2 linked regions of the Drosophila melanogaster genome follow. The protein of the gene in region 2 interacts with the protein of the main gene of each other region in a pairwise test. Each region holds a gene or a part of one and is shown on either strand. Other genes may lie near its edges. The genes, in order: CG3819 and CG14658.

What was found.
Region 1: the proteins of CG14658 (region 2) and CG3819 interact in a two-hybrid assay, tested with the Drosophila melanogaster proteins (one large-scale study listed by BioGRID).

Annotation. Positions count from the first base shown.
Region 1 is NT_037436.4:18,916,788-18,926,755, reverse strand, and holds CG3819 (uncharacterized protein), read left to right. Parts: upstream 1-4,647; 5' UTR 4,648-4,663; coding exon 4,664-4,799; intron 4,800-5,056; coding exon 5,057-6,192; 3' UTR 6,193-6,326; downstream 6,327-9,968. Other genes in the region: CG43049 (uncharacterized protein), read right to left, coding at 670-942, 1,171-1,320, 1,369-1,587; CG32204 (uncharacterized protein), read left to right, coding at 517-576, 1,981-2,052, 2,364-2,948; CG18223 (uncharacterized protein), read left to right, coding at 6,456-6,748, 6,808-7,084, 7,134-7,532; CG6839 (uncharacterized protein), read right to left, coding at 7,529-8,655, 9,010-9,175.
Region 2 is NT_033777.3:4,825,319-4,834,313, forward strand, and holds CG14658 (uncharacterized protein), read right to left. Parts: upstream 5,196-8,995; 5' UTR 5,148-5,195; coding exon 4,746-5,147; 3' UTR 4,593-4,745; downstream 1-4,592. Other genes in the region: CG14659 (uncharacterized protein), read right to left, coding at 5,652-5,945.

The sequences.
Region 1 (9,968 bases), on a different chromosome or scaffold from region 2:
TCACCTCATGCATAATTTATTGCAATCCAGAAGGTACAAATTCATTTTTCTTTGTTACGGAATCACTAAGTTTTTGGATTTTCACTAATTCGTTGTCTACACTTTTTTCTCCAATTTTATAAATCATATGCGCTGGACGTGTACCTTTATGAAGACGTACTGCACAAATTATTCTAAGCTTACCCTTAAAACTCGTTTATTTTCAAACAATTAAAAGTGCCTTAAAGTGGTTTACCACTGAAGGCTTCCACTGAAATTTGAGATTTAATTTATGGCGCTGGCTAAACCGCTTGAATTAATTTAATTCGCTTCTGTTCAAAGTCAAACTTTCCATTTTCACGCTAGAAACTTTCCCTTCACCCTCGCAAATTGCTTTCCAAAACAGAAGGCAGCCAACAAATTTCGCAACTTTATTTTCAGTTGTTTGTTCGACTTTGCGGGCCAACTGCTCGTGGAGAATTAAGATATATTCATAATTGCTGAAATGATATAAATGTTATAATCTTTTAATTTCAGCAATTCGACGCAATGTGCAAGGCCGAGGTGGCATTCTTTATTGCTCGTGCACTGATAAATGTAAGTAAAAATAAGTTAAGTTACTATATTAAAAACCAGAAGAGTGAATGAAATTGTGAATAAATGAAATTCATTTTTAACATATATAATCTTTCAATGGCCTCTTACATATTTGAGCAAAGGATTTATGAATTTCAAGCAGAGCCTTAGGTTTTCTGGAACATCCCTTGCTAAGGCAGTGGTAAATGACCTCATAGCCAGGTAAACTAGACCTATAACCAGCACATATACAATTGCATTTATTGTGGTCCGGGTTCGAAGATCACCCTGGCATCTGAAGTGTCCTTTAATGGTCGCCGCAGTCAACTTGCAAGCAAGTATCCCCAAATGGACGAATAACCAGGGAGCCATGTGATGAGGTGAAACCTAGTGTCAAAAAATTAGAAAACATCTTGAAACTTAAAATTGCATCTATAGAAAGTGAAGAAAACTTCGATCGTAAGAACTTGTGTTTATAGTATACGTTTAGGCATATCTAACAGTTCCAAAGACATTTCTTGTATTGGCGAACTATCTAAGTTTCAGTAGCAAAAAGGTGTGTTAAATGAATATCTAAACTTGGCTGAATCCAAGTTTTGTCACACAACCACTTACCAATAAAGCCGCATACAACAGATGCATCCAGATATTGGCTTGTATAAATGCTCCAGCCATTCTGAGTCTTCTCTTATTTTTTGGATTTTCGAAGCTCCCATCAACCTTATTGGTGAGGATTGACCTCCTAAACTGGGAAAGGCTGTGTATCTAGGGGAAAATCATCTAAAATTAAGTTTCTGAATCTTCGTCACCTACCGCTCCGTATAGACTAAATATGAGGACGAACCAATAATATATAGGATAAGAGGGTATGCCTTCACTCAGGTATTTCGCAAAGCAGCGCCTCACAATCCTGAATTTCCTGGATTCCAATAAACTAAAGAAACCTGATCTATCCCGGCAGGCATCTTCAATCACTTCGTAGGAACTTCCCAGAGAACATAGGCGGTATTTAACTGACATAAGTTTAATCATACTTCAAATTACGCGATCGAAAATCAGTATTCGTAAAAAAGCAATATGTGATCTCACACGAAATTTCGGAAATATTTTGAGCATTGACACGTATTGAAAATTGATACAAAGCAAGGTTTCAGGCTGTACGATGTCTTCCCATTTAGCGTACGCATCAGTCAATAACAATAGGGCCCAATTCCCTTTGCGAACATCCCTCCCATGGCTTAATCGATATGTGTAATAAATAATTTAATTACCAGCTAAGTCCATTAGTCCATTTACGCAGCATAAAAATGTTAGCTCATGTTTTTCTAGGGAAAAAGTGCGAGTGTGTGCGAATGTATCTGCGGAGGGGAATTTTATCTAATGGATATTTATGGTACCCAATTTGTTGCATTCCCTTTTGAACAGGTGCTGGCCATGTGGGGAGTGCTCCGTTTCTACAACTTGGTTCGTTCTGGAATCACATGGCGCGGACCAGAGGTAGGTCATTTAACAAATAAATATGAGTGGACAATATATCAAGTTACAATAATATTTATAATTTAATTACATTTTTTAATGGGTATTTTTATGCAAAGGCATTTAAAATTTATGATTTTTTCCAAGGAGCAATATTTTGCCACTACTTAGTGGAAAATGTTATTAGAATATTATTATGCTATTTAATTTTCCTTTAGTTAATTAAGGTTTTATCGTTCCTAGTAAGGGTATTTATACCAGAAATAAACGAGTCTTAATTCATTAGCGTAATCATTTGATATCCCCTTTCCCTTTAACCATTCTGTCTGCAGGCCAAGACAGCCATCTTTGCGCCGATGTACAAGAGTGTTACTACGAATAAGCCGCACACATACACCTACAGCAAGCGGTCAAGGCGCCGCCATAGCATCGATTCGACTTCCGGCGGATGCTGCGCCATCTTCGACTTTGACTTCGAGTACGACGATGATAACGACGACGACGACGATGAGGCTGCCTATGGCGATGGTCTGGATACGGAGGACGAAGTGGGCTACGACTACGATGATTACTACGATTACTACGACGACGACGAGCTGGCGGAGCAGCAGCACTTGGGGCTGCAACAGGACGATGGTGACTGTAGCATGTTGGGCGCTGGCAGGGCAACCAGATCGCGCTCCAAGCCAAGATCCGCTGTGGTCAAGGTCAAGGGTCAGCGGAGCGGAAGTCGCCGCACCAACAACAACATCCGCAGCGTGCTGATCAACAAGCGGCACAACAAGTACAAAATCGCGCGGCCCCAAACGCAGCTGGAGGTCATCAACGAGTCGGAGAAGAGCGCGGGGAGCGGCAGCGATGAGAATGATTCACTTTTGGTGGCCTATGACAGCAGTTCGTCGCTGGCGTCAGTTTGACATTGGCCGCCATGCAAATCGGGAACCGGAAATGGAAATGCAGCCGTTGGGACAACGGGAAGTGATAGAGCCAGTGGAACAAATAGCGGTGGAAAGTGCCATAACAGCGCCTGCAACTGCAACTGCAATGGCGGCAACAACACCGGAAGCGGAAGTGAAACCGACGACGACGACGGCGATCCTGACGAGAGCCAGCATCTGGAACCTGAGTGGCCGAAGAGCTACCGCCGCGGTGGTCAATGTTGTGGTCAGCGTCAACGCCGACGTCCACTGCGACGCGTCTACTGCGCTGTGAATCTGTCCATCATGGGCCTCCTGGTGGCCGTGGAGATCTACGCCCAGATTGCCATATTCCTGTAGATCAAAACACCTCTCTCTCTCTCTCTCTCTTAATAAAAATGGGTTTTCCCATGGCCAAAATCATATAATATAATTCCAAGCGCCGTTTTTGGTCCACAAGGTACATTACAGTCAACAGAACTTGAAACATACTGTCTCAATGTCAGCAGACACTGCAGCTTTAAATGTAAATAATTTACATACAATATCTTCAAGTAACTAAAACACAGATCTTTTCTCACTCAAGCTACAGCTTTCACAATATTGCGAAAACTCAAATGCTATAATCTATGCCATGGCCATATAAAGTTTTACGTTCTATATAATTTAAAGTAACCAAAAATATAAAGAACAATATCCATAAAAAAAGAACATTTTCTTTTTTTAAGATTTCTGCTAAATCATATTTTAAAAATTTCAAACATTCTAATCAGCTTAAAAACCTTAAGCCTCTTACAAAATGTAACAAATCTAATGTAAATACTTCATAGCAAAATGGTCCGTATTAATAAGAACAATAATAGAAATTAATCTAAATGTGTAAAATTTAAAAGGCGTAGTGCATATCCAGAATTAAATAAATAAACACAATAGCTCTCCAAGAGATACCATTTTTATGTTAATAACCCAGTAATAAGTTAACAGATAAAAGACATTTTATTGCGCAGCCCAAATAAAAGCTTTAAAATAATTAAGCATAATAATAATCGCATGTCTACCCAAAACCAATAAAATAGCCCTAACAAAAGTAACAGAAACAATAAGAGTACATATTAAAGAAAATAAACAATGAAAGATTTAAATGATTGCAAAGTGCTAAGGAAATTACTTTGTAAATACTTCCAGCTATCTCAAGTTGATGTCAGTGACGTACAAAAATTGAAAAAGCAAAATAAACCATATCTATAAATGTTGTATATATAGTAAGTAATCTTAAGTACAGCTGCGCCAAAAAAAAAAGAACACTAGACAGCCAGTTTAAAACTAACCAATAAATGTGAGTTGATGTATACCTTACGATAAAACCATAATAAACCCTTGATATTTGTGAAAAAGTTCAGCGCCTTCATTATTGGGCGATAACCAAACGTGCTGAACACGTGAAAGAGAAAGAAGCTCCACACGGATCGCAGCCATTTAATTTGGCCCACACTCGGGAATACGCCTAATCATGGGGGCCAAAACTAATTAAATGATAATGCCGGCGGTGGGAAGTTAGCAGCCGAATCTGGGGACACGTGAAGCAATCAAAGCATCAGCAAGTGCCGGTATCAACCCGCAAACATGGTCGCAATCAGGGGAATCTAATCAATCATCGGACATCCAGTTGGTTTAAAAGCACCCGGCCTTCCCGAGGTCCAAATCAGTTGCGAAACATGAAGTGCCTAGTGTTGATTGCCTTCAGTGGCCTCTTCTTGGCCAGTGCCCAGGCCCGAATCCTTCCCGCGGAGGATCTCCCCTGGGAGTTGCCAGAAGTTCCGGTAGCGGTCAACGAGATTGAACCCAGAGCAGGTGACTACTAAAACGTAATTAAACTCATTCTTTCATTTTTGGACATTTAAAAAATTTAAAAAAATCTTTAAAAATTTAAAGACCGATAAACTTGTTTAATCAAAACTACTTACAATGGCATAAATTCTATTTTACCAATAACAGATATTCAATGGGAATGGGAAATATTCTCTTAATTAAAATACTGATTTAATTACAATATAATTTACAATACCTTCTACATTTATAAATATAATTGAAAATATTCTTTATCGTAGCTGGTTGTTCAATTAAGATCCGCAGCTCTGAGCTGAAGGATCCCCAGCCTCTGCTGATTAAATCGGACACCTCTGAAATCGTTGGATTCTCGGACACCGGCTATGTGGACGTGGACAAGGACAAGACCATCGAATTCCACTGCACCAGCAGCCTGGCTTCCCCTCTGTCTGGAAAATCCGTGACCGCCAAGTGCGTGGGTGGCACCACCTTCAAGATTGACGATAAGGAGCACGATCTGTCCGCCATCAAGTGCACATCGTGGCCAGTTTTTGTGGGCAAGAAGTCCGGATCCAGCTGCAATGGTGGCACCACGCTGATCAAGGTGGGCTTTGAGCTCTCCGGCTCACGATTCGCAACGCAGTACGAGGTATGCTTCAACGAGGACGAGGAGGTGACCAGGTACGTCTATCATCGCCTGGAACCGGGAAACAACTACTATGCCACCGGAGTGGATCGCATTACATTTGGAGCCGGCGGCTATTTCGCGGGTAAGAATGTGGACAAGCTATACACGCAGGCTGTTCAGAAGGAGACCATCGACAAGGAGCTGGACATGGATTCATCCCGTTTCTTTGACTCGGCCAAGAACATCTTCCTGGCCCGTGGTCACATGGGTGCCAAGGCTGACTTCGTATTTGCCCCGGAGCAGAGGGCCACCTTCCTGTTCATCAACGCTGCTCCTCAGTGGCAGACCTTCAATGCTGGTAACTGGGCTCGCGTGGAGGACGGAGTTCGTGCCTGGGTGGCCAAGGAGAACAAGCACGTGGAGTGCTGGACGGGAGTCTGGGGTGTTACCACGCTGCCCAACAAGAATGGGGAACAGAGGCAACTCTATTTGTCCCACGATAACAACGGCAACGGTCTGATTCCAGTTCCCAAGCTATACTTCCGAGTGGTAATCGAACCATCCACCAAGAAGGGCATCGTTCTGATCGGCGTCAACAATCCCCATTTGAGTTTGGAGGAGATCAAGCGGGACTACATCCTGTGCACGGACGTCAGCGACAGGATCAACTGGATCAGCTGGAAGAAGACGGACATCACCGCCGGTTACTCCTACGCCTGCGAGGTTCCGGAGTTCCGCAAGAAGGTGACGCATCTGCCCGAGTTCTCCGTCAGCGGACTGTTGGTCTAAACTGGTTATGTTTGAAATAATAAATAATACCTTTACATCGAAACACTTTGATTTGTTTTTAAAACATCTGCAACAAGGAAACTTTTGAGAAAATACTGGAGAAATAAATAATTTGAGAAAAAAATGGAAAAAATATGAATGAATTCGTTTATATTTTTAAGATTGCATACGATAAATCCATTACAACCATTTTCCATTTTGAGTAGATTGGCGAAATCAAATAATGCATTTGTTACCTGTCAAAAAATATTTAAAATTCTCCAATGTTGCTACTGAAATATGGAGTATCTAGGAAAATCTTCAGTTTCCTACTGTTCCTCTTGTTGCTTCTGCCGATCCTTGACGCCGGTGATCCGATTGGCAGCCACTTCGTCCGCCGGCGGGCTAAACGCCTTTCCAGTCCCTATTTCGACAAGGAAAAAACGTTGGTTCTGGCCAAATATGTAGTCTCGATTCGATCCCGAAGACCCCACAAGTTATTTGGCGACAATCACTTCTGCGGTGGCGTGATCATATCGAGAACCTACATCCTCACCTCCGCCCACTGCGCCATGGAGTAGGTATAGAAAAGATCAATATATAATTGACTGTTATGTCCTTTAATCAATGCAAAAGTAAGCGCAAGATCGTACATCGCAGTCGGGTGTTGGTGGTTGTGGCTGGAACCACAAATCGTCTGAAATCCCGCAAAGGACTCTCTTTAAACATGGAGGTGAAGAAGATCTTTGTCCCAGACAAGTTCACAGTATTCAATACGAACAACATTGCGCTGATGATGCTGGCCAAAAAACTACCCTTGGACAATCCGCTTGTGGGTGTGATCAATCTGCCTACGGCTGACCCAGAACCGGGTTTGAACTACACGGTGCTGGGCTGGGGAAGGATCTTCAAGGTAAGTTGTGGTAGTTACGAACTATAAGTAGGTTTATTATTAACTATAGGGCGGTCCCCTGGCCTCGGACATCCTGCACATTGACGTGGAGCTATTGCCCCGGGATATCTGTGAGAAGAAAGTCCACATCTTCAAGGAGGAGATGATGTGCGCCGGAAATCTGAACAACACCATGGACGAGAATCCCTGTGCCGGTGACACCGGAAGCCCACTGATTTTCAACGAAACAGTCTTTGGTGTGGTTAGCTACCGAGTAGGCTGTGGATCTAAAACTTTGCCCTCCATTTATACCAACGTCTACATGCATATGGACTGGATTAATGGCATTATGAACAATAATGAAGCGAACCGATTGTGTTACTCTCCCAACTATCTATTCACCACCATTGGTATAATCATTGGAAATAAAATTCTGAAAAGTTGGGGATTTTATTTGATCACCATTTAAACGAGGAGACCTCCCTTGGCGGTCAAAGCGGGCAGGTGCTTCACGGTCTTCAGGAAATCGGCCACCTCGCAAGCATAGGACCAACCGGCCTTGATGTCTGTAGTCTTCCAGTTGATGTAGGTCACCTGATCGCTGACATCGTCACAGATGACATAGTCGCGCTTGATCTGCTCCTCGGTGAGATGGGGATTGTTGACGCCCACAAAGACAATGCCCCTGTGGGAGGAGGGATCGATGACAACGCGGAAGTAGAGCTTCGGCACGGGGATCAGGCCATTGTTGTTGTCATCCTTGGCCAGATAAAGCGGCGTCTCCACACCGTCCTTGTTGGGCAGAGTGGTCACGCCGTAGACACCGGTATAGCAGTTCACGTTCAGCTTGTTCTTGGAGACCCAGGCCCTCAGACCATCCTCCACACGAGCCCAGTTTCCGGCATTGAAGGTCTGCCACTGAGGAGCGGCGTTAATAAACAGGAAGGTTGCCCTCTGCTCGGGAGCGTAGTCGAAATCAGCCTTGGCACCCAGGTGACCACGTGCCAGGTAGACATTGCTGCTACTATCGAAGTACTTTTCCGCATCTCCGCCCAGTTCATTGTTGATGGTCTCCAGCTGGGTGGCTTGGGTGTACAGTTTGTCCACGTTCTTTCCATCAAAGAAGCCAGCCGTTTGGAAGGTAATTCTAGCCACTCCGGTCTCGTAGTAGTTGCTTCCGGGCTCCAACTTGTGGCGAGTGTATCGGGTCACTTCCTCCTCTTCGTTGAAGCAAATCTGCATCTGCTCGGCAAACCTCGATGAGGTGATCTCGAAACCTACGCGGATCACAATGCCACCGTTGCAGGTGGCTCCGGACTTAACAGCCTTGAATCCCGGCCAGGATTTACAGTACAGGTCCTTGAACTCGAAGTTAGATCCGCCCACGCTGAAGGTGGTTCCACTCACACAACTGGCGGTAAGCAGATTCTCCGAATGAGTGTTGAATCCTGAGGGACACCACAGCTGCAATGAGCCGCCCGACTCGAATTCCATGACACCGACGTCGGAAAAGGGATAAAAGTCCTCGGAATCGGTTTTCAGGTACACTGGCTCGGGACTGGGCAATCCTCCGCGAATAGTAACACTGCAGGCTGAAAAAACATATTAGTTGCCAAATTTATTTAAATTTTACAACTGAAATAATTTACTTGGTTGGAAGAAAGGACTCGCAGTCAATAGAAATTATTTATCTATCTATTTTGGGCTCTTTAAATTAATCTTTAGAATCCTAATATTTATATTTTCTATCTTTTATAGTTCCCGAGATCTCTAAGTTAATAAAGTAAGTACACGTAACTATCTATCCTGATCAAGACTATATATATATAAAATCATTTTAACTAGGGGTTAAATATACATATATACACAAATTCAAAAATTGTACGAACTTGAAAATAATGCATTTCAGTAGTATTATATGATGCAATTAAATTAAATCGACCTACCTCCTGCACGACCCACGGGCTGAGGTGGCGCCACAGCAATCCGTTCGAAGATCCCGTCATCCTCGACCACTGGAGGAAGCTCCACCTCCGGACAGGGAACTCGAGCCCAGGCAGCCGGAGCCGCCAGCAGGCCAACTACCAGCAATGAGAATCGGATGCACTTCATTTTAGATTTAACAAACAAACGGCCTTTGAGGCATCTTTAAATAGCCCACGACCATATCGCGCAAATTAATGAAAAATAGTTAATGAAACGAATCTCGCCATTCTGACCATTATCTCTGCAAAACAATGAAATATTGGTCTTATCTATTCACGTGAAGTGTCGAAGTGTGCGGATTTTTACGGTCCTACGTAGACCCATTCATTCGAGCTTAATTGGTTTGAGACACTTAGTGCTTTTTTGGACAAGTGGGAAAGTTATGGGAATTACCCAAACAATGCAGATAATTTGTAGCTACAAAAATAGAACGTGTTTTTTAGGCGTTTAGAACTTAAAGTATATCTTTGGCGTACTTCTGGTATTACATTTCATATCTTATCCAAAGATTTGTAGTGCGTATTTTTATGACTTACACAAGGTACAATCGCTTAATTACTTCTGAAACATATTTGCTTTCAAGAATGTGTAGGTATTAAGATTTCCGATACATATTTTTTTATTTTACCATGTATTTTTATTCAAATATGATACACATTATATGTAATACAGTTCATTTCCAATCTAGTTATTACATTTCCACAAATCAACAGTCATTTATGATTGGCCATCTAAACTAGCAGTTGATGAGCTACGCAGACCTTCGGACGCCTAATTAAGTTATTTAATCAGCAGTCAAGGCGAGTGCTTTCCCTCAGGTTCTCGTTTCACTTAGCAATAATTTATAATCAACAAGTAATTAATGCTTATGGCCGCAGCAGGATTCGAATTGCTGGTAGCGGTTGGAATTTCCTAGGCC
Region 2 (8,995 bases):
TGATGGCTGATGGGTGATGGAACGTTTCGCCTTCCAGCTTCGGCATCAGCCCCCAAAGGGGATTCTCCACTCGAGCGCTTTTCGCGGTGAGGGGGGCGGAGGAGGGAGAAATGGGGCAGGGACGGGACGGGACAATCCAGGGAAAAGACGCTATGGGGGCGATCGTATTGATATATGTTGGTGCTCGGAGTAAATCAAAATTGATTTGCCGAGCTAGACGCTTTGGGTAATGAAGTTTTTAATGAACTGGCTTGGGCAGTCGAGAATTTGTAGGGTCCCAATGGACAACAGATGAAAATGGAGGCACTTCGATCCTCTCCACTACTTTTTTTAAAAAACATGCAGAGATATTATGGAACATAAATCCTAAATAGCGGGCATGCTTTTCATAATTTGACACTAGTTCGCCATGTCAAGTAAGTGATTAAAAACATATTAGATTGAATTTGATATATTATATAGACAGGATTATTAAATTATGTGTCGGAAATGGTAATTCATCAAAAAACTGCTTTTATCCAATAAATATAATAATATATGAGATAATCTCAATTTTAATCGACAGATGGCTTTAATTATATCATTCCGCGGGTATATTGATTTTAGTCAGAAGATTGCTTATAAAAAGTATATATATTCTTGATCAGTATCATCGGCCGAGTCGATATTGCAATGTCCGTCTAAGCAAACTAGTCTTTTACTTTTAAAGCAACTCGAATGCATATGTCCAGAAAGAATTCTTTCTAATACTGAAAGTATATAAGTGAAATCGGATCTGGTGACCATATTATATAGGAAAAAAATTACAATACATAATTTTGGCATTAAACTGATCGAAATCGGGTGACTGCATCGTATAGCTGGCATTAGAATATGTCATTATTATTCATAGGCATAATATAAAGAAATCATAGTTTCTATCTTGTTATCCCTAAATGGCTCTTATTCAGCTTAAAGATATAATTACTGAAAGGGATATTCCTTAAATTTTTCTTAGAAAACAGAAGGCAAGTAAAAACTTAGGGGAAAGGGCCAGAAACACTTCGAAAGCGAACTACTTACCTATACACCTTACCAATTACACAAGTAATCTAAACCGAGACCCAGTTGAGGAAGCCACTGGCAAGTCCACAAACACGGAACCGAAACGGAAATTTCAAGGGGAGTCTGGTCCAAAAACAAAACCGGCCAGAACGGCATGAAATGCGAGGGGCAAGGAGGTGCTGCAGAGGGGCGGCGGCCATTACTTGGGCTCCTGCCTTGGCCAATAAAATGAGCTAAGAAATGGGCACAGCTGTGGGATTGTGGGACTGTCCCTGAACGAGTCGCAATCGCGGTTTGGGGCGCCTCCGAAAAGTCCACTACAAAGGCTAAAAAAGTTGGGGTCGAAATTGATTTTGCGGTAGCCCAGGCAATAAATGCCAAAATGCGAGATGGCCAATAGAAGAGGGCATGGGAAAGGCGAGGAAGTGGTTTGTGCACAGAGAGATGATATTTATTAGTTTTAATATCACTTTTTGTAATAGGTTTGTAGTAGGTTTTCTTTCCAAGCCTTATACATTGAAGAGCAGAGCTATCAAGTATAGGTATCGAAATAAATTAAAACCATCTTTTATCGAAAGGATTCTGTTGCCCAACTTATTTCACACACTTTTCGCTCAGTGTTGCAATGCAATTGCATTGCGGCCTTGCGCAGTGCACAAAAGGTTTGACAAAGTGAGAAATATGCATGGCAAACAAGGAGCACCAGCTTGCCACCACCCCTCCGGACCCTGCGCGTCCTGCCCGACCACTCCCCTTTCGTCCCTTCAACTGCAACGAGGAAATATGATGACATATCGCGTCATAGTTCAAACGGCGGGGACTCCACTGATCAATTTTGTACGCAGCACGGCGCCATCTTTTTGGCCCTTGCAAGGGAGCAGGACCTTCCTTTTTTCGAGGATTTACTGTGCATTGCGATGCGGGGTGTGGCGGGGCTGGGTGAAACGAAAAGGGATGAGGAGGGGGGGGGGGGTTCTTGGTCTGGTCAGTGGCGCACAGAGTATTCGGTTTTTCGGTTGCTTTTGCTTCGTTTCGAGTGAGCCAAATCGCAGGCCATAATTTTTTATTATGCCGGGCGCAGGGAAAACGAGAGGGCCAAGACGTCGGCTGGTGGCTTCCGTTGGTGGAGTTGGCTCTCGGCCCGGAGTAGCCATAAAAATAATTAATTGGCTTTTATGTGGCAGGAGCCGTTGAAATTTCGCTTGTTTTCCAACTCTTTCCGCTCCCTTTACCCTGCCAGTGCAATTTCTGAATTGCATTTGCCTGTTTAATTAGCCGTATTAATTATCTCCATAATCAGCATCTGTTCTGTGGTCACACACACACACACACTCACACGCGGGCAAAGCTCATTTCCGCTTCAGCCGACGGCCATTTTGTTTTTATCCGTGGCTGTTTTGACGTTGTAATTAGTTTTTGCGGTTTTCCATTGGCCATTCGACCGCAAATGCAATTGTTATTTCGTTTGCGTTCTTCCTGCAAAATTAGAGTAAAACTTTATTTCATTTCTATTTCTCAGCCGGGAGATGATAGTCAGTTATGCATGTAGCTCATGTCGATTATAATCCTATTGGGTTCCATATGTTCCAATGCTATTTGATGAAATTTGAAGTACATCCTTATCGAAATTGGTAATACGTTTTTATGTGACATTCTGTTTCTATGTCACATAACAAAAACGACACTAATCATCTGGAAGTGAATTTGATGTCAGTTCGTTTGCAGCATCCGGTTTCTTACCAGTAGACAAGTATTAATAGACTTAAGTTTTAAAAGGTATTTATTTTTTAACAGCTAGAAAAAAAGCCGTAAATTCCTTCAGTTTTGCCTTGCCTTTGGCGTGGAAAACACACAACTCACTTGATTAGCCAACGAACTTTTGCTCTTGCCCATTTGCACATGATTTCCATTATATTTTTCCCATTCCAAATCATGCCACTTACTTAATGTTGTACCATACATTTCCCAGCCCTTTCTTTCAGCTAGCTTCATTCTACTCCGTATGAAACCATCATCATGAACATTATTCTATTCCATTAATTTATGCGCAGAAAACTGCAGCACAGTATGAAGCATTTTTCTCGGTTCTTGCTGCTTGAAAATGTAGAGAAATTGAACAAAAATGTTGAAAACACACGAGGCAAATGTCGAATCGATGCGGGAAGGAAGAGGAAACTCGAGCAAAATTAATGGGGTATAATCAACGAAGAAAATATATGGTTATTAAACAGAGAGCGATCCATAAGTAACCGAATAATTGGATAATTAAATTTTATTCATTTTACTATTGTAGAAAGTTACTGGAGAAATTCACCGACACTATGGTAAATGGCACATGAGAGAAAGTGGTGTATTGATAAAAGTGCAGTATTTCGTTCTTCAATAACTTCGCACCGATAAATAAATAACGCGTCCTCAACGATATTGATTTGAGCATTTTCTATATGAAAATCTGGCCTAGATCGACTCTCGGCATACTTAGATCGAGATCAAACTATTGTCAGGTTGCAAATGTCTATCGATAATTTTTTCCGATTCTCAGGAAAGGCGTCCCAGTTTCCTAGACTTTTTAGACGTAAGAAAAAAGGTGCGTGTCCCGAAAATAAAATCAACACTGACACTTTTCGGTGATCGCAAAGTTTACAAACTGTAAAAGTTAGCTTGGCAAAAAAAAGTCCGATAGGTTAAACAAAGGCGAACTTAAATGCGCAATTCACTGTGGGCAAAGGAAACACCCCTTAAAAATTCGTTTATTTTCGCATTATTTCGCGTTTTTCGCGCCAAAAGGGAAACACAAAGGATTTGACTAAAAAGCGACCAAGAACACACAATAAGGTTGATCTCCAAAGCCAGATTTTCGCGCAATTAGGCGCAATGAGCCGGAAATGCAAATAAAGAGTATGTACAACTGCACACAAATATATCCACGGGCCTTGGGTCGGGCAAGGCCAATTGTTCACTTATCCATCCCCTGATGACGATTACGGAAAACTTTAGCGACGGAGATGATGACGATAATGACGATGATGACGGCTCTCATATAGTATGTATGATCCATTGTTCTACGGGGCTGACATTTCCCCGGGGGAAGTCCAATCAAAAGCTGAAATGGCTGAGGCGAAGGTTTCTGGGATGCTGCGCTTTTGTTTTTTCGGAGCCTACGTCGCGACTTCGTCCTGCAAGCGCAAGGACAACAGGATAACAAAAAACACTATACAATAAAGGCCTACTGACATAGCCGAAAATCGATTCTAAGAACGAATGCGGTTTGGTATCGCAGTTGATTGCGCACCAATGGAATCAAATGTTGTTTTTTATTTTTAACAGCTTTGTACTTTTATAGGGGTCAAAATCACTTTTTGCCTGTAATTGAACCGAAGAACGATACGAACTTGTATTGTATATTGTATATAAGGATGTAATGTATTTCCTTACCCATACTTGATCATATGTACTTTCAGATCAACTTGAGATGTACCAAAACCTATTCAGCATATAATGGCAATATTGGTAATGGCAAATCACCCCACATCAAACCAAAAAGAATTAAGCATTCTAACCGTGTTTATTGGCGCATCATCATAGGGAGTTCTTTGTACAACGATTGCAATGTTGTACTCGTACATATACAGTTGTTTGGCTTAGCAATTTTGACAGAGTTTACCCTTCGATTGGCATGTTGGACATTTTGAGTGTGTGTTTTACTGGTTTTTGGGCTGGCTCTCCAATAGCTTGCGGTTCTGCTCCTCACGCCTCCGCTTGGCCATCTCGAAGGCCGTTATCTGTTTCCGGGCACGAGGTCCGGCCTTGCTCCGGAATCGCTGTTGGCGCACATAGAGGGGCCTGCGCTGGTTGAGCCACCAGCTGAAGTCCGCCGGGATCCTGCCGAACTTGCTGACCATGTTGCGGTGCCTCTGGATCTCCTCACGCCTCTCCAGCCACTTCCTCCCGTACTCCCAGCCGAGCAGCCAACCCATCACCGGCCTTTCCTCGCACAGCTCCGGAATGGGATCTGGCCGATCTGCCGGCGGAAGGATCGCTGAACCGTGATCCCTAGCCGGAATCAGTGGCGAGCGGCTCCAGATCTTGATCTTTGAAATCATTATTGAGTGGAATTATATGCTTGTCGTGTCGGTGCTGTGTGATTTGATACGGAGTCTGTCTGGGACTGAGGCTTTGTGTCTGCTGGGTCAAGAGCTACTTGATTATGAAAAATTTTCCAATGTTCCAATACGGTTGTACAAACAATTGTACATTCAAATTTTAACTTAGTCAATTAGTTACTTTAATGAAAGGTAATTAAAGGACTTCACCGCTTTCTATGGAATTTTCCGATTTAGATTAGATTTATCATTAGCACAACAAAACCCATCAGCAGCTTTCGCTTTACTCCAACAGATGTCGCACCATGCAGATATAGCATTAAATTAATTGATTACCTATTATTATTATTACGTTTAAAATCTATACATTACATACTATTTTTGTATTATCTTTATTCATTTAGATACACATTTTATAAAAAAGCCAGAACGTGAAGACAATTAACAATTTTTACAAAATTTCATATTCAAAAACTGGACAACTTAATGAACACAAATAAAACGTCAAGATCTGATCAGCTGTTGCTTAGTCTTTATGGCCCTCCGCTTCTCAAGCCAACTGGTATAGTTGGGTGGAATGAAGTTGGCCTCCTTCTTTATCTTCAACTTGGTCTCCATCCTGTGTATATCACGCTCCTCCATCCACTGGCGACCGTAGTGCCAGGATAGAAGCAGTGCCATTTGGGGCTCCTCCTGCTCGTACGTCGGTGTGAATGACTGGTGCCAGATACTTACTTTCGCCCTCTCGTTTTTTGGGCGGAAAGCCTTTGCCGGCTCCCAATATTTCTTTTCCGACATTTTCTTGATTTTTTTTGTTGCTGTCTGTCTTGCTTAGAAAATATAGCATTTCTACATAATAACATCAATCAGATTTCGAAGAAACCGATTAAAGGTGAAGGAAATATCAAGTATGGAATGATTTACATTACCAAAAAGCTCAATTTCAGCGCGTTTTGACTCTTTTGGAAATCTTTCTTTGAAAATTTCTATCGATCGAAAATTCTATCGAAAAAACTTGTTGCCAGCCCACTCTAACGCCCTCAAATACAACAATTTGAACAATTCTATTTCTCATTTTATTCACCAAAATCTATTGATATCCTAGAAAAAGTATGAAATTTCGCGATCGCATTTTCACTAGCTGAGTAACGGGTATATGATAATCGGGCAAGTCGACTATAGCATTCTCTCTTTTTGTGGTATACTATATATATATGTACTATGGAATATATATTTTTGCGGATAGCTTTAAAATTGATAGGCTAGTTTGCGTAGAATAGAACGGACAGACATACGGGCATTGTTATATCAAAGAATCTATTAATACTCATTAAATATATGTATTTGCAAGATTATAAAAACATGAAATTAGATATATATTTTTTTCTTAATTTTCGTACCCCTGGTGTACATACAGTTGCGGTAACAATAATGGCACCATAAGCACATTTCGTGTTTGTCTCAACGTTTCTCTATTTTCTGACATTTTTTCATACTTTTACTCACTAAACTTAAATACTACAATGATTTTCAATCGAAATAAAAAAATTAATAACAGATGTAATGGATATTTTAAAAATAATTGGTAAAACAAAAAAAAAGTTCAAATTTAGGCGGTAACAAAAATAGCACTGTTTCTCGTAGTTTGCTAAAACTAACCAAAAAAAAATAAAAAAATAATTCAACAAATGAATTATATCTTAAGAACTATGTTTAAAGAATCTTAATATTTGGTTGCGTGACCTTTGTTGGCAATGACAGCCGCGCATCGTCCTGGCATGGAGTCCACCAAGTCCTGGCATCGTTATTGAGTAGTTTTGCTCCATGGATCCTTGACCAGACCCCAAAGATCATCGTTATTATTGGGTTTGGCTTCAGAGACCTTTTTTTCACGTCCGCCCAAAGGTTTTCGATTGGATTCAAGTCGGGTGACTGAGCAGGCCAGTTCATTCCTCGGATCGATTTCTGCTCTAACCACTTTCGAGCGTTCTTCCTCGTGTGTTTTGGGTCGTTATCCTGTTGAAATATTCAAACCAACGGCATTTCATCCTCGGCATATGACAGCATCACATTTTCCAGGATATCTGTGTAAATGTCCTGATCCATGATGCCTTGAATCTAATGGATCGGACCTACTCCATAGTACGAAAAGCACGCCCGTACCATTGTGTTTGATCCCCCGTACTTTACCGCCTTAAAGGTGAAGCGAGGATTATATTCAGTTCGTGGAGGACGCCGAACATAAGACCAAGACAACACAAACAACACAATTTTGGTCTCATCTGACCACAAAATGTTGCGCCACTTCTCCACAGGCCAGTCCTTGGGAATCTTGGCATATTCTATTCGCTTTGCCACATGCTTAACAGTCAAAAGCGGGACTTTTCTTGGGCTGCACGCATTAAGGTTGTTTTGTTTTTATTTTTTTTTTTTTTTTGTTTTATTATTCATGCAATCTGACTTTAAAAAATATAAACATTTAATAATTTTTTTTTGAAAATGAACTTTCCACCTGCAATAGTGCTATTATTTTAAACGCAGCTGTATAACTAATTGTGTCGTTTATTATAGATTTTTTAAGAAGTAATATAATTTGGTTGCATGTGATTATTGGAGTATTCCTTCGTTACGATGTGAAAACTACATATTTATGAAATTGCCAACTGCTAATTGAACAAAAACCCGACAAAAGTGCTGCTAATGGACAAAACACATATAACACAAATGGCACAGACAACGGACAACAAACCGCCCATCGACAAGGGTCGCAAATTGGGAGGAAATACAAACAGATGGAAATCTGTGTATAAAACCCAAGCAACCCGAAGTGGAGAAACTGGAAATGTGAAAAGCGCGGCATGCGGCCCAAGTCAGCGGGGGCGACCAATAGGTCAAGTACGAACTGCATTGGCTCGCTTTAGTTTTAGCGGCTCCGGAAGTGAAACAGTTTGATGGAGCCCTGACGTGGGCAGAACTACGCGTGCCAAAAGGTGCACAGAGGCCTTAGCGGAATTCGGAAGACAGCTGGTTTTCATTCACAATTCACAATTTACAATACGCAATTATGCAATAAAAGGTGGCGAACTTAAATGCAACCTGGTATTCTAAACATAATGCTGGGAAAACAATGACCATGGGCCAAATGGTGGTTAAAATTCACCACCTCTCCTTTTTTGGTAACAGGAAAGTGATGGCATTATTTATTGACAAAATTCAACGAAATCCATTATAAATATACATGTAAGTCACAAGCCCCCTATATGGCCTTTGGAAAATGCTATACTTACTTTGTTTGGCAGTCAAGTCGGTTGCTCACAGTACGAAATGAGCTGAGTTGGCAGCACTGATTGTAAGTCGCTTTCCCGCTCGCACGCCGCTCGGCTGTCTCCGTCCTTGTTTGGCATCCACCACTGCGCTCCTCCGCCCGCCTGCCTGTAGTCATTTCTCATCGCCACCGGGTTGTTTCCTTGTAATTTGTCACCGCTGGAGCCCATTTCTGCGGCGTAATTTGTTTGCAACTCATTTCGGGATTCATTTCCATGGCTGGGTTGTCTCTTTGTTTGCTTGCCTTTGTTTTGGTCAGCTGCCTTGGGCTCGGTGCATTTAATTAAAATTATTATTGCTTGTAATTGGGGAGCGAAGGTGGGTTATTCGTAGGGTCAAATAAGCAGACCGACTTGCATTACAACGTTTTACGGAATGAAGTGTCAATGTAATGCAACCGAGAAATTGAAAGCTATATTTTGGAGTAAGTTTGAGGCTATTTTTATCAACCTTTAAGGAATTGGTGATATGGCGATATTTGATAACAGTCCACAAAGTATTTTATAAGCCATAAAGGGCCCCCC